Astyanax mexicanus: one gene and its partners. The protein of the gene in region 4 purifies or fractionates together with the protein of the main gene of each other region. This does not show direct contact. Links are inferred from orthologs where the notes say so. Each region holds a gene or a part of one and is shown on either strand. Other genes may lie near its edges.

Evidence for each region.
Region 1: the proteins of DDB1- and CUL4-associated factor 1 (region 4) and cep78 purify together in Homo sapiens (affinity purification with western blotting; 3 studies listed by BioGRID, with this or other methods). This does not show direct contact. The link is inferred for Astyanax mexicanus from reciprocal best matches to the Homo sapiens genes DCAF1 and CEP78.
Region 2: the proteins of DDB1- and CUL4-associated factor 1 (region 4) and dyrk2 purify together in Homo sapiens (affinity purification with western blotting; 5 studies listed by BioGRID and IntAct, with this or other methods). This does not show direct contact. The link is inferred for Astyanax mexicanus from reciprocal best matches to the Homo sapiens genes DCAF1 and DYRK2.
Region 3: the proteins of DDB1- and CUL4-associated factor 1 (region 4) and cops3 purify together in Homo sapiens (affinity purification with mass spectrometry; 5 studies listed by BioGRID, with this or other methods). This does not show direct contact. The link is inferred for Astyanax mexicanus from reciprocal best matches to the Homo sapiens genes DCAF1 and COPS3.

The regions. Positions count from the first base shown.
Region 1 is NC_064419.1:22,911,197-22,918,918, reverse strand, and holds the start of cep78 (centrosomal protein of 78 kDa), read right to left. Parts: upstream 3,155-7,722; 5' UTR 2,451-3,154; coding exon 2,198-2,450; intron 1,653-2,197; coding exon 1,480-1,652; intron 1,395-1,479; coding exon 1,322-1,394; intron 1,226-1,321; coding exon 1,122-1,225; intron 514-1,121; coding exon 339-513; intron 1-338. Other genes in the region: gna14a (guanine nucleotide-binding protein subunit alpha-14), read left to right, coding at 7,570-7,690. UniProt on the Homo sapiens protein: Centriole wall protein that localizes to mature centrioles and regulates centriole and cilia biogenesis. Involved in centrosome duplication: required for efficient PLK4 centrosomal localization and PLK4-induced overduplication of centrioles.
Region 2 is NC_064409.1:11,632,364-11,639,646, forward strand, and holds the start of dyrk2 (dual specificity tyrosine-phosphorylation-regulated kinase 2), read left to right. Parts: upstream 1-4,095; 5' UTR 4,096-4,427; coding exon 4,428-4,467; exon of another isoform or gene 4,468-4,534; intron 4,535-4,552; exon of another isoform or gene 4,553-4,652; intron 4,653-5,792; coding exon 5,793-5,920; intron 5,921-7,283. UniProt on the Homo sapiens protein: Serine/threonine-protein kinase involved in the regulation of the mitotic cell cycle, cell proliferation, apoptosis, organization of the cytoskeleton and neurite outgrowth. Functions in part via its role in ubiquitin-dependent proteasomal protein degradation.
Region 3 is NC_064422.1:7,821,687-7,829,057, reverse strand, and holds the start of cops3 (COP9 signalosome complex subunit 3), read right to left. Parts: upstream 3,361-7,371; 5' UTR 3,234-3,360; coding exon 3,179-3,233; intron 1,401-3,178; coding exon 1,271-1,400; intron 1-1,270. UniProt on the Homo sapiens protein: Component of the COP9 signalosome complex (CSN), a complex involved in various cellular and developmental processes.
Region 4 is NC_064419.1:10,125,413-10,133,069, forward strand, and holds the start of DDB1- and CUL4-associated factor 1, read right to left. Parts: upstream 3,329-7,657; 5' UTR 3,272-3,328; coding exon 3,232-3,271; intron 536-3,231; exon of another isoform or gene 308-535; intron 1-307. UniProt on the Homo sapiens protein: Acts both as a substrate recognition component of E3 ubiquitin-protein ligase complexes and as an atypical serine/threonine-protein kinase, playing key roles in various processes such as cell cycle, telomerase regulation and histone modification.

The DNA of each region.
Region 1 (7,722 bases), about 13 Mb from region 4:
GCACAGCTCAGGTAGATGTATGGTGCGTTGTTGGTACAGTATGTGTACTGGGATATTAAAAGTTTAGAATTAAATTAACATTTTTAAATGTTTTTTTGGGGGGGTTTTGTTCTTTTAAAATCAGACCAAAATACATTTAGGATATTTTATCCTTTGGCCAAATGTTTCATTTTGGTCAGTTTTTAATTTCGGTGCGTCCTTCCTTCAGTTGGTTCCATTAAAGTTCCATTTCAACATGTTTTTTTTTTTATGAGAACATTAGTATCAATAAATGTCTGCTAATTTCGACCCAAAATCCACATATAGCCTTAGATCCATGACATCTCATGTTCTCTCACCTTTGACCCACAAGTCCTCTGCCAGTTCCTCAGCAATCGCTGCCACTCCTCTGTCCCCGATTAGGATATTGTCATTAAGTGTGATTCTGCGTAGCCCACTCATCGCCTCAAACTCTGCCTTTCTGTACCGTAGAGACTCCGCCCATGCTGTGCCATGACGCCTCACTGCTTGATGCTGCTCGAAACAAGCCAATAATATAAAATTGACAGATATATACATATCTATCCATATGTAAAAAACGAATATACAACAACCAAGAAACATAATGCAGCACTTTTGCTTTAAATAAAATCTTCAAAATCATTGTGATTTTCCAGTGACTTGTAATAGAGGAAATTGTGTCTCTATCATTTCCACTCCAGGCTGTAATTCTATTTTTGTACTTTCTGAAACTTTAGTTGAGCTGCATGAGACCTTTATAATGATGCTTAGTCATATTTGTGTAAAATCTTATAATATTATTCCTTGCCACAGACCTTACTGTATTATTTCATTTCAGTAGCCAGCCTTCAGCTTGTCAACAAATACATGTGTACAGTTGTCAATGAGGTAGAGCGCAGAGAGTGATTTGTATTTACTGCAGTGGTGTAAAAGTATATTATTCTCTGCAACTATAAGGAGAGCCCCAGGAGTAAACAAAGACAATTTTTTCAAATAAAGACCTTTTTTTAATTAAAGACCAATTTTCACAAAATCTTAACACCATGATTTTTTTTCTGGATTTTTTTATTTATTTCCAGTCTAATCCCATACATCACACCGGTAAACAGACCTTAACTTACCTTGATTATGTTTGCCATGTGCGCCGCACCCTGCCAGGTAATATTACAAGATGTAAAATCCACAGTCCTGATTGTCGAGGAGTACTTAACACTCTGACAGATAACTGAAAGCACAAAGAAACAATACAGATGTCCTATTATAAACAAAACTAAAGTTAAAGCATTCTGATGATGCTCAAGGATCATTCTAATTTACTTACCTTCAAGCCCATCATCTGCAATAGGGCAGCGTGCCAAAGACAGGTGCTCTAAGGAGGCACTTTTAGACAAACCCTGATCAGAAAACAGAACCAAAGAATCAGCATGCATTGTTCTTATTTCACAATAAACCTTTTGTCTTTTGGTGCCTTTTCTCTACCTTTGTGAGTATGTTGAGGTCTTTCTCTCTTAACGGAAGCCCATGAAGCTGGAGGGTCTTTAGACTGGGTGAAGCACACAAGCATCTCTGCACAGCTTTGCAGAGCTGAAGGGTCATACTCTTGGAATGGATCGCTGGGGTCTTCTTTCTGCTGGTAGCCTTGCTGGAAGAAGCTGAAAGGTGTGAAACCATCAGCTGAGCAAAAATACATACTGTCCACTTTTCAAAAACAGTGTGTTATCCATAATATGTTGGTTGATTCACATATAGCATATCCTGCTGAAAAGCATGGCCAAATTCAAATGTCTTATTTATGTAGTTATGGAATCCAACAGATTTTAATGCATATTTCCCTTTTTTTACAGTTGTTACAAAGAATCCTAAATAAAACCAAACAAAGTTAATTATTTGGTCAATTAATAATATTGAATACCAAACAAGTTTTTGCAGTTTTGCAGTTTTTGCAGTTTTAAAGTGGTCACTTTTTTCCAGCGCTGTATATTTATATTGGTGTACTACTGAGCTAATATCCTAACTATGGGATAGTGTTTGAATAGCAGTTGTAAACAGTTCGTTTGTGGATCAAAATACTGTGGTAGGTTCTGTACATCCGGAAAATGTCCTTAAATATAATGATATAAATATTCTAACCATATCACACACTCCTATGCACAGTACCTAGCATTAACAGTACATCATTTTAACTAGAAGGACTCACCCTGTGATCCCAGTGTGCTGAGATAGGAGCTCCTGATGGTCACAGTGTGTAAATGCTTGTTTATGACCAGAGATGAGAGTATAGGCGTCCAGTCTGAGAGACTGATAACATCTCCATTAAAGTCCAAAACTCCTTGACTTAAGCTGGACTTGACTGCGGGCACTGGAGCCGAGCCTTGAGCAGCACAAGCTGAATCATAGCAGGCAGCAAAGTCCTGAGCTCCTCTGCGCCTCGACTGAGCAGAGCCCAGCATCTCTACACATCTAACTAACTAACCTAGCTTAGCTTAGCTAACTAACCTGGACAACTAAATTTACCCGAGGAGAAACTGGCCTACAGCTACAGCAGCTAACCTAGCTATAGCGCTTTAACGCTGTAGATAGTTAGTTAACCTAACTAGCTAACTAGCTAGCGTAGTTATACAGTAATTACTCACAGCTATAGCGTTGGCTAGCTAGTTAAGCTAATAGTCTCAGTCTTCGCCACTGTAAAGCTGACTATCTAACTATGCTAACTAACCTACTTTACTGTAGATGGTCGAATCTGTCAAAATAAACCAATGCACTAAGCTAGTTATGTTAGCTAGCTAACTAGCTGGTTGCTGATTACTAGCCTAACAGCGGCCACTGTTCAGCTCAGATCCGATCTAAAGAGCGTCTACAGATGTTGCTCTAATTTAACTGAATTAATCGCCCGCAGGAAGGTTTTTGGAGCCGTTTTTGGAGCCAGTTAGCAATACTGGTGCCGTTATCTCCGCTGTTTGTTGTTGCTGTATCCCCACCAACCGCCTCCAGGGAGAGAGAGGGAGGGAGGGTGCAGGTTGGTGTAGAAGTGGATCCGCGGCTGCTGTTTGAAAACATGAACACCTCGTTCTTCAGGGAGAAGAGGAGAGAGCTACAGCAGCTCCTACCGCCGGCTAGCGGACAGGAGAACTACACACACAGCCTGTGTCTGAATTAATCCACATGAATCAAGCGATTCTGCCTATTCAGTAAGGATTCTGAGGCAGAAAGGCGCCCAGGTCAAGACTGAATTGAAGTTAAGTTATCTTAGCCTTCGATTTTGAGCAAGTCTCACCCTACAAAGACTTAAGACTTGAGCAAGTCTCACACCATTAAGACTTAAAACCTGACCAAGTCTCACACCACACAGACTTGAGACTTTACCAAGTCTCACCACATATACTCAAGATTTGTTCAACTCTCACCCCACATATACTCAAGATTTGTTCAACTCTCACCCCACAAATACTCAAGATTTGTTCAACACCACCCCACCTATACTCAAGATTTGTTTAACTCTCACCCAAAAAAGACTTTAGACTCGACTAGACTCGTGACAAAAGACTTGTCCAGGTCTCACCTCACAAAGACTTGAGACCTAACCAAGTTTCACCCTACATACTCAAGATTTGTTCAACTCTCACCCCATAAATACTCAAGATTTGTTCAACTCTCACCCCATAAATACACAAGATTTGTTTAACTCTCACCCCACAAATACTCAAGATTTGTTTAACTCTCACCCCACAATCACTCAAGACTTGACTTGGACTCGTGACCAAAGACTTGAGACCTAACCAAGTCTCACACCACAAAGACCTAAGACTTGACCAAGTCTCACCCTACACACTCAAGATTTGTTCAACTCTCACCCCTCAAATACTAAAGACTTGACTTGGACTCGTGACCAAAGACTTGTCAAGGTCTCACCCCACAAAGACTTCAGACTTGACTAAGTCTCACCCAACAAAGAATTGAGACTTGACTTGGACTCGTGACCAAAGACTTGAAACTTATACTTGCAAAAAAGACTTGTGAGCATCTCTTGTCTTAAACGCATGAAATGTTGACTGGCTGTCTTGCTGCCCACACTGTCTCACTCAGAAGGCAGTTATTGATCGTAATAAAGATCACTGTTTTCCAATATATGCAATATGTGCAGATGTTGCTTATGAATTATTTTAGCTATTCTCATACAAATATCAAGCTTTTTAAACTACTCTATCATCTTGGGAAAGCTACTCTTTAAATGTCTGAAGACACTTGCTGCATGTTCAACAATTTTATTTAATATTTCCCATCATATTGTGGTAAACAGTTAAAAATATTTGCATAATTGAAAATAAAAAGTAAAGTTAAAATATGATTTTTTTTTTGTAGTCAAAAGCCTTAACTATAAGAAACTTTATTAGGGCAACCATATAAAAATAAGGGAGGGCCTATGTCAACATAAATGGTATATATAGAATATATTGTTGGAATATAGTAAAAGAAACCCTGTCAATAGAGGTGTTTTTTTTATTATACTTGTAATACATTACCAGAGTAACTCTTCAAATAATGTAAAAAATGTTTTTTAATATACCAAATGTCTTAAAATATCCCCAAATGGGAATATATCAAATATTCCCAAATGTGGATATTTATTTACATTAATATATTTAAACAAACATTGAAACTGTGCACAATTCAAGTCAACAAAAGGCTTTTGGATAAACAATTACCAACAAATAAAATGATATACCTGTAATTCAAATAACTAGGTAAAAAAAAAAAACAATTACTGAAATAAAAATCATTTTGACCCAATCTAACTGTCACGCACATCACACTTAAAAGACACAATTGATGTAAAAAAAAGAGTTTTTTTGATTAGAAATCTCTTCTCAAATCAGCAAATTGGTGACATTCATTTTAAATTCATTTTTCAATTTAATGAAATAAATTCATTTTCACAGGAACTGCTTGACAACGAAAAACAAAGAAGACTCTCCAGGCCTTTCTTAGTATGTTCCAAGTATGTTTTAATCGCCTTTTCATTGTAATTGAAAAATAATCTAACCAAATGAGGCCTTGCTGAATTCTTTTAGAATTGTGCCCTGGTTTCATAACATGGAAATTAGAGGCTGCGCTCTTATTTACTTTCAATCTGTTCTTCAGAAAAATCTACTTTTACTTGGAAAGCAGTTGCAAATCTGTGCCTTGCTGTTTTGAATGAAACCAGAGTTGAATCATAGTCTTAACAGGCCCCTATGCACAATCATCCTTAAAGGCACCCTCTCCCTCATCAAGCTCACCAAACACCAAACTATTACATAACAATACAAAACAGGTTTGAAACAAAAAAAGTCTTTAAAATATTGATTAAATTATTAAAGAATGCCATACCTTTTGCATATGTCACTTTTTGTATTTTTCCTTTCTTCAATATGCTAACCTAAAATATAAATAAATAAATAAAGTAAACATAGCATCACTTTTTACTTAGCAACGCATTTGTCCTAAAGAGTATAAAAATGAGTTTATCATGCTTTTGTTGAATTATCTGTCTCTGCTGTATAGGGAAGAACTTTTTTTCTAGATTGCGGAACATAATGGTGAGGATTTGATTGCATTCAGACACAATAGTATTAGTATGGAAAGGATGTTGGATGAAAACCACCACACCTCAACCCCCCAATTCATCTCCAAAATATTAGATACATCATCATCATTTTAAAGAATACAGCCTGTATTAAGTATAGAGGTATGGTCAATTGGTACCGCTCCAGTCTGCTCCAGGAGAGTCCTATCCTATTGGCAGTACTTTTCAACAAAGACTGGACAAGCTGTGTGTGCATTTCTGTGTGTTCATTTCATTCACATATGTGTCAGCAATGGGTGCACTTTATAGAAGAAATCAAGTGTGAAATGGACTTTGGGTGTAGTGACAAGTATGAACTTTTGTCTAATGGCCCATTTCCATTTGCCCTCAGCATTCCAAAATTCAGTGCTTTTAGCTGATGCTACCAACAGGCCTATAATACTAGCGATAGGTGCATAGAAGAAAATGAAATGAATTTACACCATTAACCCTCCTGTTATGTTAATTTGTCAGGAACAGCAATGGTGTCTGAAACCAAAAAAAATCCTAACATGCAGTGTGAATATTTCATTACCAACTCCATTGTGAATTATTCTAGCAATATTAAGTGCAATGGTCTTCTTTACCTAATAGTTCAATTAGGATAATTCATTCATTTTTCGTAAAAAAAATCATTTTTTTTATGTTTTACTACATTATTAATTTTGAAAAACCAACATACAAAACACAACAGTTTTACATAACATTGAAACATAATATTGCACTTTTGTTTTAGTTTTTGCAGGGGGTGGTTGCAAATATGTGAGATGAACCATTTTCATATTATATGTTGATTACACTGATTATGGCAAGCAGAAGAAGTTTCATACTGAAAAAATACTTTTAACTATTTTTCCTAGATCCTCAACTTTAAAATGTGTCATATTGACCTGTAACATAACAGGAGGGTTAACAAGCTCAAGGTAGCTCCACACTTCATTGGTAGAATTCAGAGGGTCCTGACATTTAAAACGAGGCACTGAGAAATTTAAAAGTGCACAGATAGTTTATTAAAATTACTGTTTTTTCACACCATACTTTAAGGTGGGTGTGCTAAATAATATTCATGCTTTCCATGAAATTAATTTCGCAATCTGTTCTCTTATCCTACCTATTCTTCTGTGCTCATTAGTAGACTTATTGTGACTTGATTTCAAGATGGTCCAGAGAACTACCTCAAGATACTGTGTGTATAAACAGTGTTTTTAATAAATAGCCTATTATTAAGCTACTCTAAGCTTGTAACAATGTTCATTTTACTCAAACATATACCTATAAACAGCAAAATCAGTGAAATTAATTTAGAAATTGGAGTGGTCTCTTAATTGTTTCCAGAGCTGTAAATGATTGTGTATGTGTAAAAAAAATAGAACCCAGGCTGATTCCTAGACAGGTGCTGCTTTTTTCCAACCATATTAATACAAACCCTCCCCATCTGCGCTGTGATTGGCTGACATGAGTTACCAAACTGTCAGCCTATCCAATTGCAGCGAAGATAAGCCTGTAAGCGTGAAATCTTGACCAATTGATGCGTAAGGGGCGGGGCTTGCCCGAATGCGGGTGGAGATAAGGGATGGGCACGAGGCGAGTTTTAAAGGCGGGAGGCACCAGGATGCCCACTTAGTCCGTTGGTCTTCATCTTCGATAGCTAAAGGGAGTAAAGCAGAAACTGAGGGGAAACAGGTGGAAACTTGATCTTATGATGTTAGAAAACACACTTCCCTTCAGAAATAGGACATTTTTTCGTAATTTAAAGTGAAAAAAGTTAAAGACCGACGAGACGCCACTGTGAGGAGTTTTTTACAGGACTGCATAGCTTTTAGAAGCGAAAAGCGACCGTTACAATTAGCTTACGCTAACGCAGCTAGGTTAGCTAGTCAGTTAACGCAAATTTTACCTCAGAAACGGACACCGCGTTTGTGGTTTTCAGCAGAAAATTCAAAGTCTTGCGGGGAAAGCGGGAGACCATGGCTGGGTGTTGCATGTCAGCGGAGGAGAAAGAGTGTCAGAGGATTAATCAGGAGATAGACAAACAGCTTCGACGAGATAAGAAGGACTCTAGAAGGGAGCTGAAGCTGCTGCTGTTAGGTAAGTGAAGGCACCTAAGTTGGCTAGTAAAC
Region 2 (7,283 bases), on a different chromosome or scaffold from region 4:
GCATTACTGATTTCTCCTTGCTTTAATGTAGAACTTCCAATACTGCCCACGTCACGTGGAAACCATCCATCCGCTTAATGAGGCTAATATGGATGAGACCCAAATAACAATATGTCTAAAGAGCCCTGTAACGTTATTAGCCCTCACTAAAACAATGCTGAGCAGAAGTGTCAGCAGAAGGAAAGGGAAAAACAACACAGCCTGTGTTTGGAGCTTCTCAGACAGCCCCACTGACTCATCCCCTAAAGATCAGATGTTCCCTGAGAGAGAGAGCGAGGACAGGCAGAGGGAACAAACAGAGAGGAGGCCTTGAGAAAGCAGGCTTGCGATCACCTATAGAAAGAAAAACAAATCACATTATGAACTGAACCATTATGTCATACAAATAGGTTACGCCCTTTGGTCCAATAAAGCAGAGTCAGCACATCAATGCCTTTATAACGACATGACGTGTTTCTGAAATGGTGACTTTTTATGAGAATAGGTTTAAATTTTTATTTTTTAAATTAATTTCTATAATATTTATATATATACAACAGTTAAACTCTGTGTTGTATATGTGGTTAATCTGTGACAGGAACAGTGAAGGGACAAGCTGTGTAAAATGATGATATTGTTGTTATGTAGCGGAATGTAAACATTGGTTAATGTTACAATGAAGCTACAATTTTATTATGTTTTAAATGTTAAAAATCATCAGGAATGGTTTTCTCTAGGGCTGCAACGATTAGTCGATATAATCGACAGTATCAATTATTTAAATTTGTTGACTACAAATGTCATTGTTGACTAATCATTAATTTGTAACATTACCACATTACACAAAGCGCTGGAGACAGAAGCTCAATGGTTTACAAACAACTAAGTCTGTGTCTCCTAAAATGCCCAAACTCAACAGATTACATATTTAATCACTTAATATTACTAATTTCCATGTTTTAACAACAACTAGACATTTAAATGCCATGTTCAGCTGTTTCTATTCTATGTTTTTAGAGATAGAGGACATGGCAGACATAATCGTTGACTAATCGACTGATCAAAAAAATAACCATCAGATTAGTCGACTACCAGAATCGTTAGTTTTCACATCATAAAACTAATCTTTAAATCTTTGGCATTGTATATAATTTATGTGGACAAAAGTATCGGGACGTCTGACCAATTCATTCGCGTTTTTCCTGGAATCAACAGTATTTAAAAAAAGTTTATCTACAGCCCATGGTAGGTTTTCTAGTAGATTTTAAAGCATTGCTTGATTATTTGATTAGTCAGAATATTGGATGATTCCCAACCTCATCCCAAGAATATTGGTTGGAGCACAATCATTTCAGAGAACACTGCACCTCTGCTCCACAGCTCAGTGCCTGGGAGGCCTGGCATTAGGCAAGGTGCCAATAGGGCTATGTTCTGACGAGTCTTTTCTTTTTGCAATACTGCTGTACAGTATATATAGGAATAGAGTAGCTTTGTGTGTGTGTGTGTGTGTGTGTGTGTGTGCATTTACACATCATTTAAACGGCAATGTATACTATGTACCTAACATGAATTTGAATGGTTTGGACTCTGGTTTGGCCTATTTGGTGTAAAAACTAACCATATTTATGAATTATTTAGTTTGCAAAACAGTAATAATGTATTTAATTAGGGATTATTTGACTGTATAACACTATCTGGGTATTGAGTGGAGTACTCCACAGCATCTAACACCTACTTCAGCATGTCTATCACAACTATGCATGTCCATTCACAGCTTTTAGGCTGTTTGGCAGTTTCACACACTGATGTGCCTCAGTGAAAAGGTTTCGGTCAGACCCTTGCTGATAGCCCATTATCACAAGCTACAGGGCAATGATGTGAGGCTGACATGGGCTCAGTTATTACGTGTGCTGGTGGAAATGGCTCACTGGGCTATCGTGGCTCAATTCCTCACATATTTCCTGGACATACTTCTTAGTAACCGCGGTGACAAATGCCGTGACAACCGTCCCAGCATGTTTTGCTCCCAGCTGAACGCAGTCTGACACACGGACCAACATGTGGCCTCTTGTTGGAATAGTGAGGAGCTGTATGTGATGACTGCCCTGCCATTCTCACAGGACTGCATTGTACATGTCTACATATCTCTAGTTGGTGCCAGAAGATATATAGATATCTCTGCAGCAACCCACTGCCCACTGGTGTATTTGGACCATAGACTTTAGTTACCTCATAAACCTGAAGCACCTTCTATCTCAAAAGGCTCTTATAGACGTTGTTGTGCAAAAAGTATGTCTCTACTGTACATTTTTACTTTTGTTCACTTTTTGAAACTTAGTAAAGAACAACTGCCAGATTCACACTGTGTCAAAGCTGCAGTGAATAACTATATATGATTAATTTAAGATTTTTTGGTCAGAAATCTGTTATTTTTCCTTCATGAATTAAGAAATATAAGTCAAAATAAAACACACTTTACTCTTTTAAGTAAAGTTTTTTAGTAAAATAGAAAGAATAACTGATTTCTTACATAATTTTCGATATATTGTCCCTTTGCAAGGGATCATGATAAATAGATTTATGCTCCAAACTCACTTAAAATAAAATGTGTTTACACTGACTTTAATTAAAAATTAAATACGTTCTCACTTCTCCTGTAAGGTTGCCACTAAGCTATGATGTATTTAACATACTTTGATAAAGTTTATGCACCATTCACTCTTGTTAATTCATTTACTCCATTTATTGAAATTAAGCTATAAAATAGACAATCATGAATTTACTGCATTTGTGATGTCATAAAAATAAACAATATCTGAAAATTCAGGCTAAAAAGTAATTATGCCTATTTTGCACATTTGCCTACACAAAAATCAGTTGAGAGCCTTAAGGGAAAAACTAAACAATGGCAACATTAATGACAACAAAATGCAGATACGTTCATAAAAGTAAAAGCAAGACACATCCAAAAGTTTGCAATTTCAGTTGCATTTATTACTGTGATATAACTTGTGTAAGAACAGACAAGACAATGGATTTCAGTGTTCCATTCAGTGTCTGAAAGTCCCAGTTACAGCACTTGTGTGCACTGATGCTGTCAGTGATTTTTTTTGTATATACACTCCAAGACATGAAGACAGGGAAAGCCTAAGAAGCAGGCCTGAAGCTTGAGCTTCTCTCCACCCTCTAGTGGACAGTGATTACATGCATGCATGTGGCAGTTTTAATGTCCAGGCTGGACTAAACTGTGGAAATAACCCGGGGTACACGTGTGTGTAAATTACATATCTGGAGATGTGGAGCCTAGATGTTTCTGCAAGTCTGCAAGAAATGTAAACATACATTGACGTCTGGAAATATGCCTGGTTTTGTCCCTGGGAAAAAAGCAGGACAAACTACTCTCATGAGTTTTTTGCACTGCTAGCATTATTACTGTTTTAAGCATATACACAGCTCTGGAAAAAATAAATGAGGCCACTTCAGTTTCTGAATCAGTTTGTCAGATTTTGCTCTTTATAGGTATATGTTTGAGTAAAATTAACAGTGTTGTTTTATTCTATACACTACAGAAATAACAAAAGAGATGCAGAGCTTTCAGACCTCAAATAATGCAAAAACAAGTTCATATTCATAAAGTTTTAAGAGTTCAGAAATCAATATTTGGTGGAATAACCCTGGTTTTTGGTCCCAATTTTCAAGCATCTTGGCATGTTCTCCTCCGCCAGTTTTATACACTGCTTTTGGATAACTTTATGCCACGCCTGGTGCAAAAATTCAAGCAGTTTAGCTTGATTTGGTGGCTTGTCATTATCCATTTTCCTCTTGATTATATTCCAGTGTTTTTCAAATAGGTAAAATCAAAGAAACTCAACATTTTAAGTGTTTTTTTTTCAGAGCTGTATAAACACTCACTGCAGCATGCCTAGCTCAGCTCATCTGTGTGTGATCACAGAGTGTGTTAATGTGAGCCACCTTAAAAAAAAAAACTGCACCCACTATACTTGACTATGTTAACTAGGTTAATAGCTGGCATGCTAACTACGTCCCTGCTGCACTCCGGCTGGGGGCTGAGGGCTGAGGGTGGGGGAAGGTGAATAGGACGATAGATAAGCCAGGCAACACCCATACAGCGCTCACTCACTCACTGACAGAGCTTTCCCCAAAGAGAGCCGCCCGGTAGAGGAGGCGGCGTGAACTAACATGCGGCGGGGAACTTCGAGGCGTGAGGCTGAGGGTGCAGCAGTGTGGAGCCGCGGCTCTGGCAGGGCGTCTCTTCCGAGCGATGGTAACCCAACTTGGGCTTGTGTTTGAGGAAGCTGCGCCCGTTGAGAATGCGAGACTGGATGTAGCTGATTGGAGTAGCAGAGTTGGTGGTGATCGCCCAGCGGAGGGGGAGGAGTGGGTTTTTCGAGTGGGTTTTTTTCCCTGTGTGTGACTCTCCAGCGGCCATGTTAACCAAGAAGCCCTGCGCTGCTGTCTACCCGACTGGTAAGGAGGCTAAAGTCCGGATTCGGGGAGGCGAAAAGCCATAACGGTAGTGAAACGCGGACACCCGGTTAGCTGAATGGCCGCACTGCACGCTGGACTGTTTATACGGATTTATAGCTAACGCTGTGGCTGTTAAAGCCGGGCAGTTTCTCTGCGTTTGATTTGCCTCTCTGTTGGAGAATGAGGTGGTAGATTAAAGACTACTGTAACCTAACTAGCTAGCTAACTAGCTTATTAGCTGGCTGTGCGGTGTAGCCATGCTCCGTCTTGAGCAGTGGAAGGCTGTTTAAAATTTTTATTGTATTTTTGTATATCAGTCAAAGACGTTGAATAATCAGCGAATGGTAGCTAGGTTAGTTAGCTTAGCCTGCTAGCTAACTGGTAACCAAACGTTTAGAACGAGAGCCGTAGCATAATTTACCCTATCTATCTTAACTATGCTAACCTAGCAAGCTCACTGTCTGTTAGTGCTGTTTCTATACGTAAAGGAGGCTAACGATAAATAATGTACATTTTCGTTTGTTAGGTCCTTTTAAAACGATTTTCTGTGATACTTACAAATCTCACTGTCCTGCCATTCATTTCTTTATTAAATAAACATAGAAGTTAAATAGTAAGCTGTTATTTAAATGCATCCAGATTTTACCCTGTTGATTGGTTTAGCTAAGCTAAGCTACATAACGTAGGTCACTGTAACGTTTAACGCTAGCTATCAGTTTAATTTTCTCGCTATATTAGCTAGAAAACTGTTTGTAAAACGTAATTATTGCCATTTGTCCTATTTACTAGCTAAAAAGATAAGTTTTAGTCATTTTTGTAGCTAACCTTGTCTTTATTTCCGCCTTTTAAAATTATTATTTTTTTAATTCATGGAGAATGAATAAATGCATATATAGCTAAGTTACTAAATTCTCTTATTTTTATTTATTTTCATCATGTAACATAAGCTTGGCTAGGTAGTAGGTTGAATTATATCATTAAATTGGACGAGAGAAAATATTTTTTTAGTAAATTCAGGATGTGGTTTAGATATTAAAAAAATAATAGACATTTTCTCTTCGCTAAATAAAAAGAAAACAATTAAATAATTAAGTTTTACACCCTTCATTTCTATTTTAGGCTCGAACTGTCTAAAAATTAACTGATAAACGGTAACGTTACACTGACCATATAGCCACTCTGAATCTGTGTAGGTTACTGAATCTGTGGTTTATGGTTATTAGCCTATGACACACAGCCAGCCAGCGCCTCAGTCGAGTTAAATGCTGTTTTTAACTAGATTTTAAGCTAGATATCTAGCTAAATATTGTGTTTTTGCATTGTAGGCAAGGGGGGTGAAATTTGCCAGCAGCAGCAGTCTTCCCCCGGGATCAGCGTCGGGGCTCTCCGGGCAGGGACTGATCCGACATCGCCCGTCACTTTACCTCCTCTCAGGAACACCAACTCGCTTACGGTACGACAAAACACTGCATGTTACACCACAGTGATTTACAGTCATTTCCTAACCGGATTTTTATCCTAGTGAGCCCAGAAGAATGTTTTAACACTTGGTCTTTAAAGAGCCAGCATGTCCGAAAACCTACCGTTTACAAGTAACGTTACAGTGTATTCCACTACAAATTACAAGATACAGCTACTGCATAATACTGCTGTAATAACATTGTTGTAACCTAACAGTTTGGACACTTACTATAGCTTATAACTACCTACAATTCCTGGTGTGGTGCATTGTAGTACACTATGGTAAGATATAGTAAGAGTGTACCTTTCAAATAAGATTTGGTGCAAATGCTTGAATATATGTTCAAAATACCTTGCTATCTGTAGCTAATGCAGATCACACATCATTGTACAATGACTTGGAAATAATGCACTGATCTGGCACAGATCTCTAATAAACTATCATGTGCACATCTCTCAATTCCAATACACTTAGCTATATAAGCACTGGTGATTAGTCCACTTTGATTAGCATTCTGAAGGATTACAAATGCAGTTTTAGCACAGTAGGCCAGCTTCACTTAACCACCCTGCATATATTGTCATGACTTTAATATCAGTTTGTTTTTGCATACTGCACTAAATCCAATAAAACATGGCTATAAAATGTTTGATGCTCTTTTGAAATTGCTCATGCAGTTGGTCAACCTTAAAGTATGAGTAGTATCCATGATATGCAAAGAAAATATATTATAATGTTATATTATAATTCTAGTATTATCTTGGCGCTTTGGAATATAAACCACCTTTAAACCTTATTATTCTTACTGTTGGACACACAGTGCACTGTTTATATATGCATATAGACATTATTTCATGATCATTATAGTGTAATTCCTACAAATTAGTCATTTGAGATTCAGTCTCTGTTTAATTGCTGAATGCTGAGCAAGCAGTTTGGGTGTGCATGGGTGTTATGTGAGGTGTAAGTTCCAGTTTTGGTTGTGAGGCGTGTGCTTCTGCTGCTTGCTTGCTTTACTCAGTGACCTCATCTCGACTTGGGCTATTAGTGTAGATCTGGTTAGTGTGGGGAACAGCCTGCCTCAGGAACCGGGTGGAAGCCAAATACAGTGATTATAAATACAAGCCATGAGGGCTCTCGCAGAATCTGACGGAGAAATAGAGATAGGGGCTCATGCTGTGTGGTCTGTTTGTATAACATGTACCTGGGCTAGGTTTAGTATTTTGCAAAACGTGCATTAATACCGATGTGAATAGTAGGTTTGTTTACTGTCACTGGTAAACACAGGGGCTCGACACAATTAGCCACAGGCTAGCACACTGTGTGGGGAGCTGTGGAGCTGGGTGCCAGTGGT
Region 3 (7,371 bases), on a different chromosome or scaffold from region 4:
GAAGCCTCTGTAGAACAGTTCCTGCGAATGAGCAGCTACTACAGAAACAATCACACTCAAAAACATAACTTGCTCAAACTCAGGGTTTCCAGTAGGGGTGGGGAAATTTCTGATTCTTAGATATGTCTTGATTTAGACGTATACAATACTGAATCAATTCAATTCAAAAATCGCTTTTCTACACGCTATATCAAAAAGCGTAAAGATAACAGGATGCAAAAGGCAGAACTAGGAACTGCGTAATTATTTTTCTTAAATATAGCTAAAGCACTTTATTTATATATAAATCTGCTTTAAATAACACTATATTAATTTCCATTTCATTTTTCTCTACATTTTAAATATTTTAAACGTTGTTTAATAACTTTAAACAAATGATGCTTGTGCTTACCATTATAATTATTAATATTGTTGTCCTTGTGGTATTATTATTATTATTAGAAGAAAAACTCAAATTTATTTGAATTTAATTATTAGGTAAGCCAATCTGGGATCCCATTCTTATGTATATATAAATATTACAAAGTCTATTATAATGTGTAACTTTCTGTTACATACTTTACATTTTATTCATATGCAAATCCAACACATATCAGACACAATATTAAAACAAGCATAAGTCATAACATTATAATCACCTTCTTGTTTCTATTTTCCTGGTTTAATATTGTGGCTGAAGCTTGCCTAACCATTACCCTAACAACATTAATCCTATCATCTGATCAAAGGAAATAACTATGTTTTTTTAAGTAAATAAAAATGGTGTCAAAGAGCCTACTAAAAAGTGGGATTTATTATGGATCATTACAAATTCTTTACTTTAAAATGACCAAGCAGTCATGCAATAAAACAAAGAAATCCTGTATAGAAGAAGAAAATGCATTAGGATGCATTAATAATTGTTTTATAACCGCATCGCAGATTCCCACCCCTAGTTTACAGGTTTCCCAATCATGCAAATTTTACCTTCTCCTAACACACCTGAATCAGCTAATTAGCTCATTAACACGCCCTTTGAGAAATTGCAATGGGTGTGGGCAATTCTCTAAATGTGCTGGGAACACTGTTGTAATTGCATTACAGATTCAAACAAATTCAATTTGGTTTTAAATACTAGTTTTACTTTAGTAAAGACTCGGTTTATAATAATAATTTATCTTTGACACCAGGGTCCATGTATGATTAATAGCATCTTAAAAAGAAGGGGATGCTTAGCTTCAGATTTAGCACTTAATAAATCAGTCTGCACTGATCCTGGAACAGCACTCACAGCACAGCCAGCACGCCCAGAGAGTGCTCCTGGATGTCCAACGCTCCCAGCACCGTGTCTAGGTGGGAGAGGTTCTTGGCCAGCAGCTCTCCACTCTTGTTGATCAGCTCACATAGCTGAGTCATCTGACCTAAGAGTGACAGACAGAAAGACGAGACAGATATATTTGATAACAGAATCAGTTACACAGAGCTCTAAACAAGACAGCTAAAGTGTGTGTGTGTGTGTGTGTGTGTGTGTGTGTATGTATGTGGGGTGGGTTGTTTGTGGCCAGTCCTTAAAGTGTCACTTTAAAGTAAAAATAAAAGAGTGTGGATTTTCTGCTTGTAAAAAAAAAAAAAAAACAAAAAAAAACATTTAACCGTAGTTTAGTTTCTAAAGCAGAATAAGAATGTGGTGGGAGTGTGTTTACATACAGAACACACACATCTGGAGTGTAAAGAGCTTTGTAAAATGCTCCTCACTGCTGCAGGCTTCATAAAATGCGTTAATTACAACTAGAGAACATAACACAGTGGTAAAAACAAAGGATCAGACATGAATCAGGAATAAAATGGTATAATGTATAATTATGGATGTAATGTTCACCATCGAGCAGATGCTTCACTAAAATTAACTACTAAACTGAAGTGTGAATATATTAAATCTTAAAATCAGTTAATAATAAGAACATAATTAAATACAGAAACAGGAACATGTAAATATAGAATAAGTCATAATATATGTATTGCTTTTCGAAGCAGTCTTATAAGCAGTTTTATAGGTTACTTAGTAACACTCATATTTACAGCTCAAAATATCTAGCTCAACGTTTACATTGTTGCAAATTATGGATGCAATGATTAGTCAACTAATCAATAATGTTCATTATTAAAAATTGGTCGTCTCCAAAGTCAGTGTATACTTATAAATTATTTGTAAATGCGATGCACTAAACAAAGTAAAATAAAATAGCATTTTAAATAGTATTTTAACGTAGCACGGCCAGTGTTACTTGGTCCTATTCCAGCACACAATACATACATCAGCATATGTTGTATAACCAATATACTGATATAATTATATATATATATATATATATATATATATATATAATGATATTCTGGTTTGTTTAACACTTTGATTGCAAAATAATTCTGCGTGTGTTCCTGTAATCAATATTCTTCTATATTAAATTTACAATGTCAAAAAATCATTAACAGAAAGAAAACACATTATACATGAACTATATATACATTATATTCTGTTAAGGATTTCGATATATCTTGACCATATCGTGATATGACATTTCAGTCATATCGTCCAGCCCTAATCTAATGGATAGGTTATCTAACTCAGTAAAGCAGCTTATTTGTCTCAAATTAAAACACTTAACTTGTCTAATAATATCTCAAACACTTGTCTAATGTAGCTAATCTATTATTTACCAAGTTTCTCTGAGAGTCTGTGAGCCAGTTAAAGCGCTAAGGTGCGCTAAAGTTAGCTGCACTCACTGTGTTTGGCTAGTCAGTCAGCTAGCACCTAATAGACATAACTAGCAGTAGCATTAGCTATCTAGCTAGCTGTGTTTATAAACACAAAAGCGAGGGGAATTCGGGTTAAATCAACATTTGTTTGCGTTTGGTGGTTTAAGAAGAGTTTAAAGGCGGTTCAAATTACATGTGTGTTTAGTTAAAGGTTAGTTAAAGAGTGTGGAAATAAGTGAAGTGAGACCAAGAAGCTGCTAGTTCGAATTCTCCATTCCACCTTAAATGTGGCGGCAGTTACAGTCCGGAATCGAGGCGCGAGAATGTAGATGCAGTCTACAGCCTCGCTATTTAAGGTGGAACGGATAGTTCGATTAAGCCTCGTCCGCCGCCGCTAGCAGACCTGGCTAAACTCGCTCCATCTCTCCGAACGGGTGCGTACCTTGTGCAGACAGCTGCCGCACATTATTCACGAACTGCTCCAGCGCGGAAGCCATGACTCTGCAGCGGGGTAACGAGCGCTCTCTCGCCGCTTTTCATTCAAGTATGAGAGGCTGCTGCTCAGGAACACAAGTCACGGTGAAGCGCCGCGGAGGCCGCCACCAACACAACACTGCTATCGCGAGATCTGCGCTCATAAGCCACAGATCCCGCGAGATTTGAGAGAAGGATCAAAAACAAACGATAAAAGTCTCCAGTGTTTAACAAAACTTTTATTTTTAATTTTTTCCGCTAAAAACGGCGATCAGAAACATTTAACTAACAATTTACTAACTTTAATATCCTGTACAGGAAACAAAGTTTTTTATTATAGACATTTTTTAATATATTTATTTTTTATGTATAGGGATATTTTTAGTACATCTTAAATAGCATAAAAATACAAATACATTAACACAAAAATATATAAATATGTAACTTAAAAAACATAAAACATATACTCATACAGTGGCTTCCAAAAGTATTCATACCCCTTGAACTTTTTCACATTTTGTCATCTTATAACCACAAACTTAAATGTCTTTTATTGAGATTTTCAGTGATAGACCAACACAATGCACATAAGTGTCTTGGTGGACAGTCTTCAGTCTCCAGCAGATTTTCTTCCATGTTTGCCCTGTATTTAGCTCCATTTATGTCCCCTAGTTTAGATGTTGTTTGGAAGTTAAATTGTGGTGCATTGTAGAGATGTTACTAAACTTTAAACAGTGGCACAAAATAAGCACTGTATAAAGTTTATTACATAATTATATCTGTGTTTTACAGCAGCTTGTAAAGAATTTATTACACCATTACAGTACCAGGTGTTTTCTTTCTTTTTATGATTTTTACTTTTTTATTTTAAAGACATCAAAGCTATACAGAAACACATACAGAAATGTTTTGTGTTCAAATTAAAATAATCAAAAGTAAAAATTTAGTAAAAAAAAATGTTTGAGGACAGATCTGCACACTTAATCTCAGTGTCCCCATAAGGGAGAGTCACCTCGAATAGTTTTCTTAGCATCTTGAAGGAGTTTCTGGAGTTTTCTTGTTTATAACTGTATTATATCAGTGTTATACAGAACATAGTAAAGTGTTAACTATGTTATAACAGTGGTGTAATGACTTGTTGGGTTAATAACATGTTGGGTGTTTGTATTCGACTGTTCTGTAGGACAGAAAGTATGTTTCAATTATTTGGAAAATGTATTCAAACTTTGTGTTCCTACACAGTTTTTACAGTATTGTATTAGTTGTACAATTTCTTTTCATGGCTGTACAGTAACTGTATACAGTAAATTATTATTTTGCTTTTGTATTTGTATGTAGACCACTGTACATGCAACTGTATGTTGGTTGGGATGTACACTGTGTACCTTGTTTTTATGGGAAAATAAAATAGATATTTTATAAAATATAGATTTTTACTGTGTACTGTGTGTTCTGAGTATAAAAACAATGTTTTAAAAAAATGTCATTATTGTGAATAGAGAAGTGTTTTTATTCATCATAATGTTTTACATTGAGCTTATCAGTGTTTAACTGATTCTTATAAATGTATATTCCTATTATGGTTTGTATGTGTCATCTGAACACAAAACACCATTATTAGAAGAGATAACATTGTGTTGAATGTAAAATTGTATTTTGCGAGAGAATTGAAAGGTTATGCCTGTTGTGTATGTGTTTGCTTGATTTGTGTGTAGAGTACTGAGAGAATGAGGTATGCTTTTGGAAAATGTGTGTAAACAAAGCAGACAAATTGTAAATAATAACTATTATTAATGTTAATTGTGCGTAGAAGAGCACAACCACTCAAAAAACATCAAATTAACGTTGATTCAATTTCCGAATTTTAGCTTGAGTTGATACTTAAAATTGTACAGTAGTATTAACCCTAGTATCTATACCTCTACCTACAGAGTAATGAATGTGATTGTTTTCACACCATTTGTGTGTGTAGAAGTGAGCCGGAGGGCGTCCAGACCGAGTGCACAGCTGGACAGGCGTTCACAGGTGTGAGGGTCTGCATGTGCATGTGCGTAAAGGTGTGTGCAAGTGTTTAGTATGTGCGTAAAAATGTGTGCAAGTGTGAGTATGTGCGTAAAGGTGTGTGCAGGTGTGAGTATGTGCGTAAAGGTGTGAAAGCGTGTGTGAATGCTTCATTTGTCCTGCTCATTTGCACGTGTTAGAAGAGTAGTGCTCGAGCTGCAGCAGTGGAGCACACATGCTTGCACATACGGGCTTTTAGAGGAAGATGGGGGGGTCGGGGTGAAGAGATGGGGTGGGGGACCAAATGTTGTAGCTAGTTCTTTAAAAACAAATAAAGGGCGCGCTCGTGCACACAGCACAACACTACAGCGGAGCTGCTACAGAGGGGCTGCCTGCAGGCGCCAGCTGACTAACTGACGGAGACGCAGAGCAGCGCGAGGACGACGGGTCAGCGGGGCGGCGGGGCAGCGGCAGCTCCGGGAGAAAGAACCGGGGTGAGTGCTTCTCTATTCAAAGCTATATAAAGCTAATACACTAAAGCTCAGTCTTTTCAGTCCAGAATCAGAGCCCAGATACTAACTAACCTACAGTCAGCCAGTCATGGCACGTTTGGGTGTATCTGAAACGCAGGAAATGCTGCCTTGATGCCTTAATGCTTTACACACTAAATAACCTAGTTAACCTAGCTAGCTAGCTAGTTAGCTAATCATAATACTGTGGTTATAACCGTCTCTTTTTTCTTTAATAAAAGGGGAAAATACGCCCCCTGACCTTGTCATGGTATAGACAGCAGTTAGCTAGCATTTCAGCTCAATAAACAGAAGGCTAACTAGCTAAAGCTAGCTTTATAAACTAAAGTTTAATAGACCTTTTTCACAGTCGCTGTGTCGTCACGTCCGGCTCTGAATATCAGCGTTAATATCGTGTTTCCGTCTGTACTGTTTTAAATGGTATCATCTCTCCTTGTGGTCAAACAAATGGTCATCAGAAATATACAATATACAGCTCTAAAAAAATAAGAAACCACATAAAATTGATGAGTTTCAAACTGAAAACCTCGAGATTATAATCAAGAGGAACATGGATGATCACAGGCCATCAAACTAAGTTGAACTGCTTAATTTTTGCACCAGGAGTGGTATAAAGTTATACAAAAGCAGTGTGCAAGACTGGTGGAGGAGAACATGCCAAGATGCATGGAAACTGTAATTAAAGACCAGGGTTATTCCACCAAATATTGATTTCTGAACTTTTAAAACTTTATGAATATGAACTTGTTTTCTTTTGCATTGTTTGTGGTCTGAAAGCTCTGCATCTTTTTTGTTATTTCAGCCATTTTTCTAAAAAAAAGCTGTCAATGACAATATTTTTTTTTGGAAATTGGGAGACATGTTTAAATAGTTTCTAGAATAAAACAACAATGTTCATTTTACTTAAAATTTATCCCTCTGGTCTCTTAATTTTTTCAGAGCTGTATATTGGACTTTGAGAGGAATTTACATGCCTGTATCAGCAAATCTGTTATCAGCAGCAGGTCAGAGTCTGTCATGGTAAGGGGGTTGTAGTAGTATATTTCTGTGATTGCAGCATTAATGACAAGGTTCCAAGGTTTTTTTTTTTTTTTTTTTTCAACAAGACAATGTAAAACCACATGATGCACTCATTACAAAGGCATGGCCGTGGAAGAAGAGGGTACGGGTACTAGACTGGCCTGCCTGCAGTCCTGACCTATCCTGTCCCCAAAAGGAGGAAATGTGTGGAAATTATTCTTAGTCCTCAAATGTATTTTAAGTGTTATGGAAAATAAATTACACCATTAAGAAGGGGTAAATGCTTTTCTGTCTTTTTTTGGAATTTATTGGAATGTGTTGGAGGCCTGAAATGCAGGAATTGATGTATACTAATTAATGAAACAGAAAGTTGAGCAAGTAAAACATTAAATATCTTCATACTGCCTGCATTCAAATAAAAGTCAGAGTAAATGTAAGAAACACCTATTTTCCTAATTTACAGTGGGCCTGCTGAGTACATTTAGCGGCTTGAATCTGGGGGGGATGGGTGGGTGGATACATGTATATGTGGTGGGGGGTGAGGGGTGTTAACTGTTCAGAGATATGTAATACAGGTCTGTAATTGTAATGTAAAATGAGGCAGTTGGGT
Region 4 (7,657 bases):
AGGATCGCTAACCTGGCGTTAACTCCCTTAACCACAGTGCTAACGCTTCACATTTTAGCAGGTTAAACCTAAGCTAGTTAACCCAGCTTCTTAACATCTGGACTCGTTTATATAAGACTTATTCATAGAGTCCGACGGTCACTTCATCCACCTGGCTGGCTATATTCCAGTTAGCTTGGTTAGCTAGCTAACGCTAACAACACCAACCAGCTCTGTGATAGCTGTCATTGCAGAAGCCTAGCCACATGCTAACTGAGCTAACCACTTAGCTTAGCGTGCTGCCTGTACGTTAGCCAGCGGGGCTCACCTCAGTCCTGCCCCAGTCCCGCGCCCGGCTCCCTTCACTCCCGCTGTACCCGGGCGGCTGCAGTCAGGCGGGCTGAGCGCTGCGGCGCCGCGGCTCCGCTCTGGCTCTCTCTCGGGCTCTGAGCGCGGCTTTGTCAGACCGTTTACCTCCACACAGCCGCGAGCATGAAGCTGATCATGGCGACCACGTTCCCGGCGTCACGGTACGGGCGACCGCTGTCGGCCTTTAATGATGCAGGCGTTGTTTTCGTTTGCGCGGTGAACACAGGCCGCGGATTGGTCGGCTCTCGCGACGCCTTAAAAAACAGCGATGTTTGAGCAGAGACGGTGTTCTGTCGAGTTGTGCTACCCTGTCAAACCGTGCTACCCTAGTGTGTGTTTTACTGTAATAATACAACCTATTAGAACATGCTGCATGCAGTAGAAGTGTCGGTATGATATTAAGCATAGCCTAAATCGCTGCATCAGGATAAATGAAAGGCAATATAGGGTGATTAAAATGTATGTATATGTATTTTTTAATCATATTTTAATTACTTTTTTACACGGTTGTAACACTCAAGTAAACGATGACTGTGAGGCAGATTGTACAATGCACCCGATAAAAAATATATCATGAAAAAATACTACACAAAACAGTGAAAATTAGAGTTTCAGAGCCACTAAGTAGCACATGTCGATGGGTAGCACAACTCGACAGAACACCAGTTAATGCAGAACCTGTCTCCTCTCCCTGTTATATCAGAAAAGATGTCAACCGCAAGAGGTAGCCCGCGAGAGAGACCAGAATAAATTGGGGTGAATGGAGCTAAATGGCTAAAAGCATAAGTAAATAAAAACTACTTGTTCAGGTTTTTCCTTGAATTTTATAAAGCAAAGGAAAAAGCAGAAAATTATTACTTATACGTTTTTATTTTTCTACCCTAAACGGAGTTTAGGCAGTAAAGCCGGTAGCGTTTTTGCTACTACTGTGCGCTGATTGGTTTGTGTGCTGATGCGGGACTTGGGTTCAAAATTTCTAACCATAACTGGAGTTAAAAAATTATATATGCAACACTGAAACAAAATTGTTCAGTGATGAGAAAATAAAGGCATATTTCAATATATAAATAATTAAACATCTTTAAACTAAAATTTGCTAAGCTTTGCTCTAGTTTTTTGAATATGTAGTTTGTAATAAAGATGTAAAAGTCTCAAATATCCCAGATAAACACTTAAAATTACATAATTAAATATAATATAATTAAAATAATATGTATTTGTGGCACAGTTTATGCACAAATGATGAACTAAAGACTGCCACTGCCATCACATTAGTTGCATTAGACTGTCTCCAGGTGCTTATATATATATACAACTTGAATTCGACAAATTATTATTTTTTTGCAATTACTCTATTAACAGTTCAAATCAATTCTATATAGTATATTTTTTCATATTATATCTAGTTTTAGTCATTAAAATTATTTTATGTCTGTCCCCATGTTCTTGTCAACTTTAATGATGTCAATTTTAGTGGAAAGTGACTTATGTCAAATTTCTATCTTCATTATGTTTTATAAAATAAAATATTGTGAAATTAAAAGAGCCCCTTTGGTAACACCATGTCAAAAAAATAAATAATAATGTGTGGTCACGACTTATGAAAACCTGGGAACATGATAATTACATTTTGCGGATGACTTAATAAGGGTTGGGAATGAGATAATTCGTGGGGAAAGTCATGGGGAAAATGTATATGGCCAGGACTTAAGTATCTCGTTTCTACAGCTTAATAAAACGTTTCCACAACTTTTGAAAAAAAAAAAAAACATTCTTTCTTTATTTGTGGCTACATACCGTTGTATTGTGATATCTATATATTTTACACATGTACAATGTCAATTAAAAGTTCTTTAACTACTGGCTATATTAAAATATATGTTGCAATATTTGCATGCTAAAGCTGTAATTTAATAACAAATAAAAAAGTACACATAATAAAGTACACTACATATTTACCCTACAGAGGACGCAGAGTCATTTTGAATACAGCCTGTATACTGAACCGATTCTTTGTCATATTGAATCAACTGATTCAAAGACTCGTTGGTTGACGTGTCGTGTGAATGCGCATGTTCTTAGTTTCCAGTGAGGTTAGGAAAGAAATACATTACATTTATTTACAAAACATCATTGATAAAATTAATAAAGCATAGATAAGACAGCGGATAAAAAGTATGGGTCAATTTATTTCTGATTAATTCATTTATTATTGTTACGTATACCTATTTTATTAATTTAACTGTTTCAAGCTCAAAATAAATCTATAAAAGCTACTATTTTATTTTCATCCTTGGGTGCAAAATGTTTTGAACCATCCCTGTAATAAATAACATTTTTTAATGTGGATCTGGAGTCTGTGTGAATCGGTTCGCCTGTTTAAATGAACAGAACCGGATCAGCAGAACCGCCCGAAGATATCAGTGCATGGAACATTTGATAGATTGTTTAAGATTTTAAGGTAAAGTTAAATGAATGATAATATGTTTAATATACAGTAATATTATACAATATAAATATTTTCTATATTAATTTAAGGAGCAATTCATACTAACAGATTAAAATAAAAATTCCTAGTAAAAAAAAGGTTTGTAGAGCTTTCTGTATATTTTGTCTCAAAATGTTTATATTTTTATAGAAATGTATATATCAATTTATAAAATCTAAAAGAGAATGTTAAAATGTTAAACATTTATTTAGTTTATAAATATCAAATCAAATTTATAATTATATATTTATATTTTTACTTTACAGGATTTTTTTGCTGCGGTGGGCATCCCTTATTTTCATTTCTGAATGGTGCCAACCCTAGGTGTCGGTTCGGCTGTTAGAATAAAACTGAATAAACAGTATAAGACAGACAGACAGACAGACTGAGCTCACCTGGTCTTCTGGGAGGCCGGAATCGTATCCGTAATATCATTTTCTAAGGTTTGCTGTAATTGTAGTGAGAGCTGGAGTCCCATAGAGTCCCGCAGAGTAAAGCTCAACATTGTTGACTAGTGAGAGCTGGAGTTCAGAGATAATCTTAATCACTCAGCTGAAGCTGCTGTGGGAGAGGGTGTGGAGATACAGGAGCTACAGTAGGTCTGAGATGGTTCACCTCACACATTACTTGACTTACTTACTCTCTCTTAATAAAGAACACTCGCTACTTACTACTAGCTCTTGGCTATAGGTATGGGTTCATTTTTCTAATATGGACGTATGATAAATGATTACGTATTTCCATTATTATTGTGATAATGTGATAAAAAAGCTGCTATAACACCTTGAATAACAGCAAACATAAGCTACGTTACCCATATGCAGCAACAGAGGGAACTAGCGCTTTACATTTGCAGCCTGTGGTGACAAAACTGGGCTAAAGGTAGAGTGAGGTAGAGCTCCACAGTGAATGCACACATGAAACTAATTACACTTAGGGCGTTTTCACACCAGCACTATTTGGTCCGGTTAAAACGAACTCTGGTCCGTTTGTAACTTTAGTGCGGTTCGATTGAGCCGGTGTGAAAACAGTAATCGCACTCGGGTGCGGATCAAAAGAACCGGACCGAGACCAGCTAGAGGAGGTGGTCTCGGTCCGGTAACAAACGAACTCTGGAGCGGTTCGCTTGTGGTGAGAACGTGATCCGGTCTCGATCGGATCCAGCTATTAAATATAAGCCATTTATTTGAGCTAAACTGCTGATAAAGCAAGCACAGTTTAAACTGATATATTAGCCAGATAACACTAATTACCACAGCTGTGAACAAACACTGTGTCCATGCACGCGCTGCATTCACTGCTCTGTTTATTATGTATAAATCTGCGCTGCATTCACTGCTCACAGTCGCGTGACTCTGTTTATTATGTATAAATCTGTGCTGCACGTAGAAACACTGTGTTTGAAAGTGCAGCGTTTCAGCGTTCAGTGTTAAAGCACAGATTTTGTGCTGGAACACAAGATCTTCTCGCTGTATTTACTTTTTCGTATATTTATATTTAACGTACTCCCGTGTCAGACAGTTCTGACCAATCAGAGGACACAGGCTGCTCGCGTGGTTTATTGATGCGCATTTTGGTGCGTTTACATTTATGCCTGTGTGAAACCAGACTGAACAGAGCAAGAAAACGCTCCAAGTAAACAAACTCATTAACTGATTCGGACCAGAGAAACCAACTACAGGTGTGAAAACGCCCTTAGACTTAGAATGGGTACAATTAGTACAGCCAAGTCAAGTGTACGTTAACAACCTTTAATGATTTTAAACTAATTTTTAGTGTCTTAATTAGTTAATGTTAATAATGTTCTACATCGATCTTAGCACATTCAGCAGTGCTAACAGTGCAACATTCTATTTTTAAGAAAATAGAATATAATTTTTTTTAGTTATTTAACTTTTTTGTTAAATAAAAAAGTTAAATGTGTTTATTCATAGTTTTGATGCCTTCAGTGAGAATCTACAATGTAAATAGTCTTGAAAATAAAGAAAACACATTGAAAAAGATAAGGTGTTCCCAAACCTTCTGGCCTGTACTGTACATCATCCATTTCTGCACTTTAGGCCTTCAGGAACACATTCCAAGTTAGAACTTTGGGTACCACTTTAAAATAAGACTACCTTCATAAAGGGTTTATAAATGTTTACAATTAGTTTATTAATAGTTACTAATTAGGTTGTAAATGCCTTAAAAATCATTAATAATCAGTTATAACACATACGTAGAAAGGGCAACAATATAGATGGCTGTGAGTTCACTATTGGACAAAAAACAGGTCATTGTTGTCCTTTTACGTATGTGTTGTAACAGATTATTAATGACTTTTAAGGCATGTACAACTTAATTATTAACCATTAATAAACTAATTGTAAAACATTTATAAACCCTTTATAAAGGTAGTCTTATTTTAAAGTGGTACCGGACTATAATGTAGCAATGAATTGTTTCAGGTGTTCATTTATCAACGTATTTTAACCTCTTCTTTCACATACATACATTTTTCATTTGTTTGGCTTGTGGTTTTGCATTGTCTTGTTGAAATATGCCTGGCCTTCAGGTGGGTGTCTACCAGACACTGATTTGGATAAGTAAACAAACATACAAACAACAAACAAAATATGTATTTACCATGATTCAGTTTTATTTACAAACTTAAAAAAAAAAAAGTTCAAAAAAAGAAAAATCAGAGAAAAATCAGGTCAGTTTGATTTGAGTGCTTTCAGATTGATCTGTACATCTGACCATTTCACCTTAATGAACAGAACACAGATCTGCTCCTCACACCCAGCCTTTTCTCGAACAACATCAATAAATACCTCGATTCAAGTAAAGAGTAGTAAGCAAAGGACATGGAACGCTGGGGCATCGTTCACATCTCAGCCGTGACGCTCTGGGAACATGGTAGAGCTGTCGGCCTAGGTCACTGCTTTACTCTGGAAATACAAGTAACCGCACTGACCACAACTGACCCTTGTTCATTGGTCCATAAGCTTTCACATGCTTTAGCCAGGTGGCAGTCATACACACACACATACACGCACACACGCACACCCACACAAACACACACACACACACACACACACACACACACACACACACACACGCACACACACACACACACACACACATCCCTTCAATCGTTTACAGCTGAGGCATCTTTCTGCGAGAACGTGAGCCCCTCATAAAAACAAAAATGTACAAAAATAAAAAATACAAACAAATAAATACACATTGTTATAAATAAATTAATTTGGTAAACTGACAAATGGCAAAGAAAAAGAATAAAAACAGGTACGTTTATTCCGTACGCAAAGAATGATTACATATTGGAAAAAAAGAGAGATAAGAGAGACGCGATAATGTACGATTCAGATGTTTCTGGAACAGTTGTCCAATCTGCTTCGAGCGCAGGGGACGTCAGCGTTTCGCCCCGCTAAAAAAGAAAAGCAGGGAGAGTAGCAGAGCAGTGTGGGGTACGGGTGGGCCTGAGCGGTACATTGTCTGTAAATAAAGCAGATCAATGCCACGTATGGATACAGAAATGAGGCGAGATGGTGTCAGCAGTATACAGTTTACTGTATAGTACCGTTTGTGCACAAGCAGTGCTCATATTTGGTGTCAAAAATCAGATGACTTGTGGAATTCTCCCAAATTTACAACCAGACAAGAAGCGAGTTGTCTGATTATATCCTTGGTTGCTGGATACTGGAATGAAATTTGGTGGATTTGGTTTAATGGAAATTATACACTCTTAAAGATAAATGTGTTTAAATGGTTATTTTCTTGTGATTTCAGTTTTTGCAATTGTGAAGTAGCATTTTTGAGGGTACTTAGGTATTTAGCCCCTAAAATACACATAAATTAAGAGGGTAAAAGCTAGATTGCTACCTCAGGGTCATGCCAAGCCAGTTACGCATATGCTTAAAGAACTGGACAGCTCAACACACTTGGAGGAGAACACTAATGGCCTATTCTGTTACGTCAAGGCCACTTATGCTTTTGAACATAGCACTTAGACTGTTGCTCCACCTGGAAGTGCTTGGAAGTCCATTCCAATTATAGTGTTCATCTTTAAGAGCATACTCTATTTGGGAAACTTGATTGTTTTGGCACACATTTGACGTCATTTTATCATTTGATTTTGGTTTGACTCAATTCATTTTCATACATTATGGAAGAAGCGTTGTGACGTTTCAGCCACTGAAGTGTCAGAAGCGGGAAAGGTTGGGGTGAAAAATTACAGGAGTATTACAGGAGACAGTGACCCACATAAAGAGACTAGGCAAAGTCTGCACATCTTAGCTCAGCTTGAGTAAGACTTGGAGTGAGATGTAGGCATTAGGAGCAGTGCTCCTGAACCCTGCAACCCTCACCAATACATTCAGTGAGACAGCAGCACAAGGCATCAGTGTTTAGTGTACGTTCTTTGTATCAGTCGCCACTCTATTCCCAAGTAATTTAAAAAAAAGAAAAAAAACTTTCACACATTTCACACATTTCTTTGATCGGGACTAGTTCCCTTTATCCTGTATCGTAGTAGGCTGTAAGAGGGTTCACCTGCATGTGACCAGTGTTCACAGAAGAAACAGTTAAAACACCATTCAACATTACAGAGATTCAAAAAGGAGTGGCAAGCGTATTCACACACGTAAATGAATAAAGTCTTCAGTCTAATGTCTGTGTCTAAGGCCTGTGCTTGCAACACTGTGGTAAAGGCGGGAAGTAAAGATACATTCTTATGTTTTTAAGGTCTTCTGTTAACATTTTCTCTCTCTCTCTCTCTTTTTTTTGTCTTTTTAATGTCCGTCAGTTGTGGATATACAA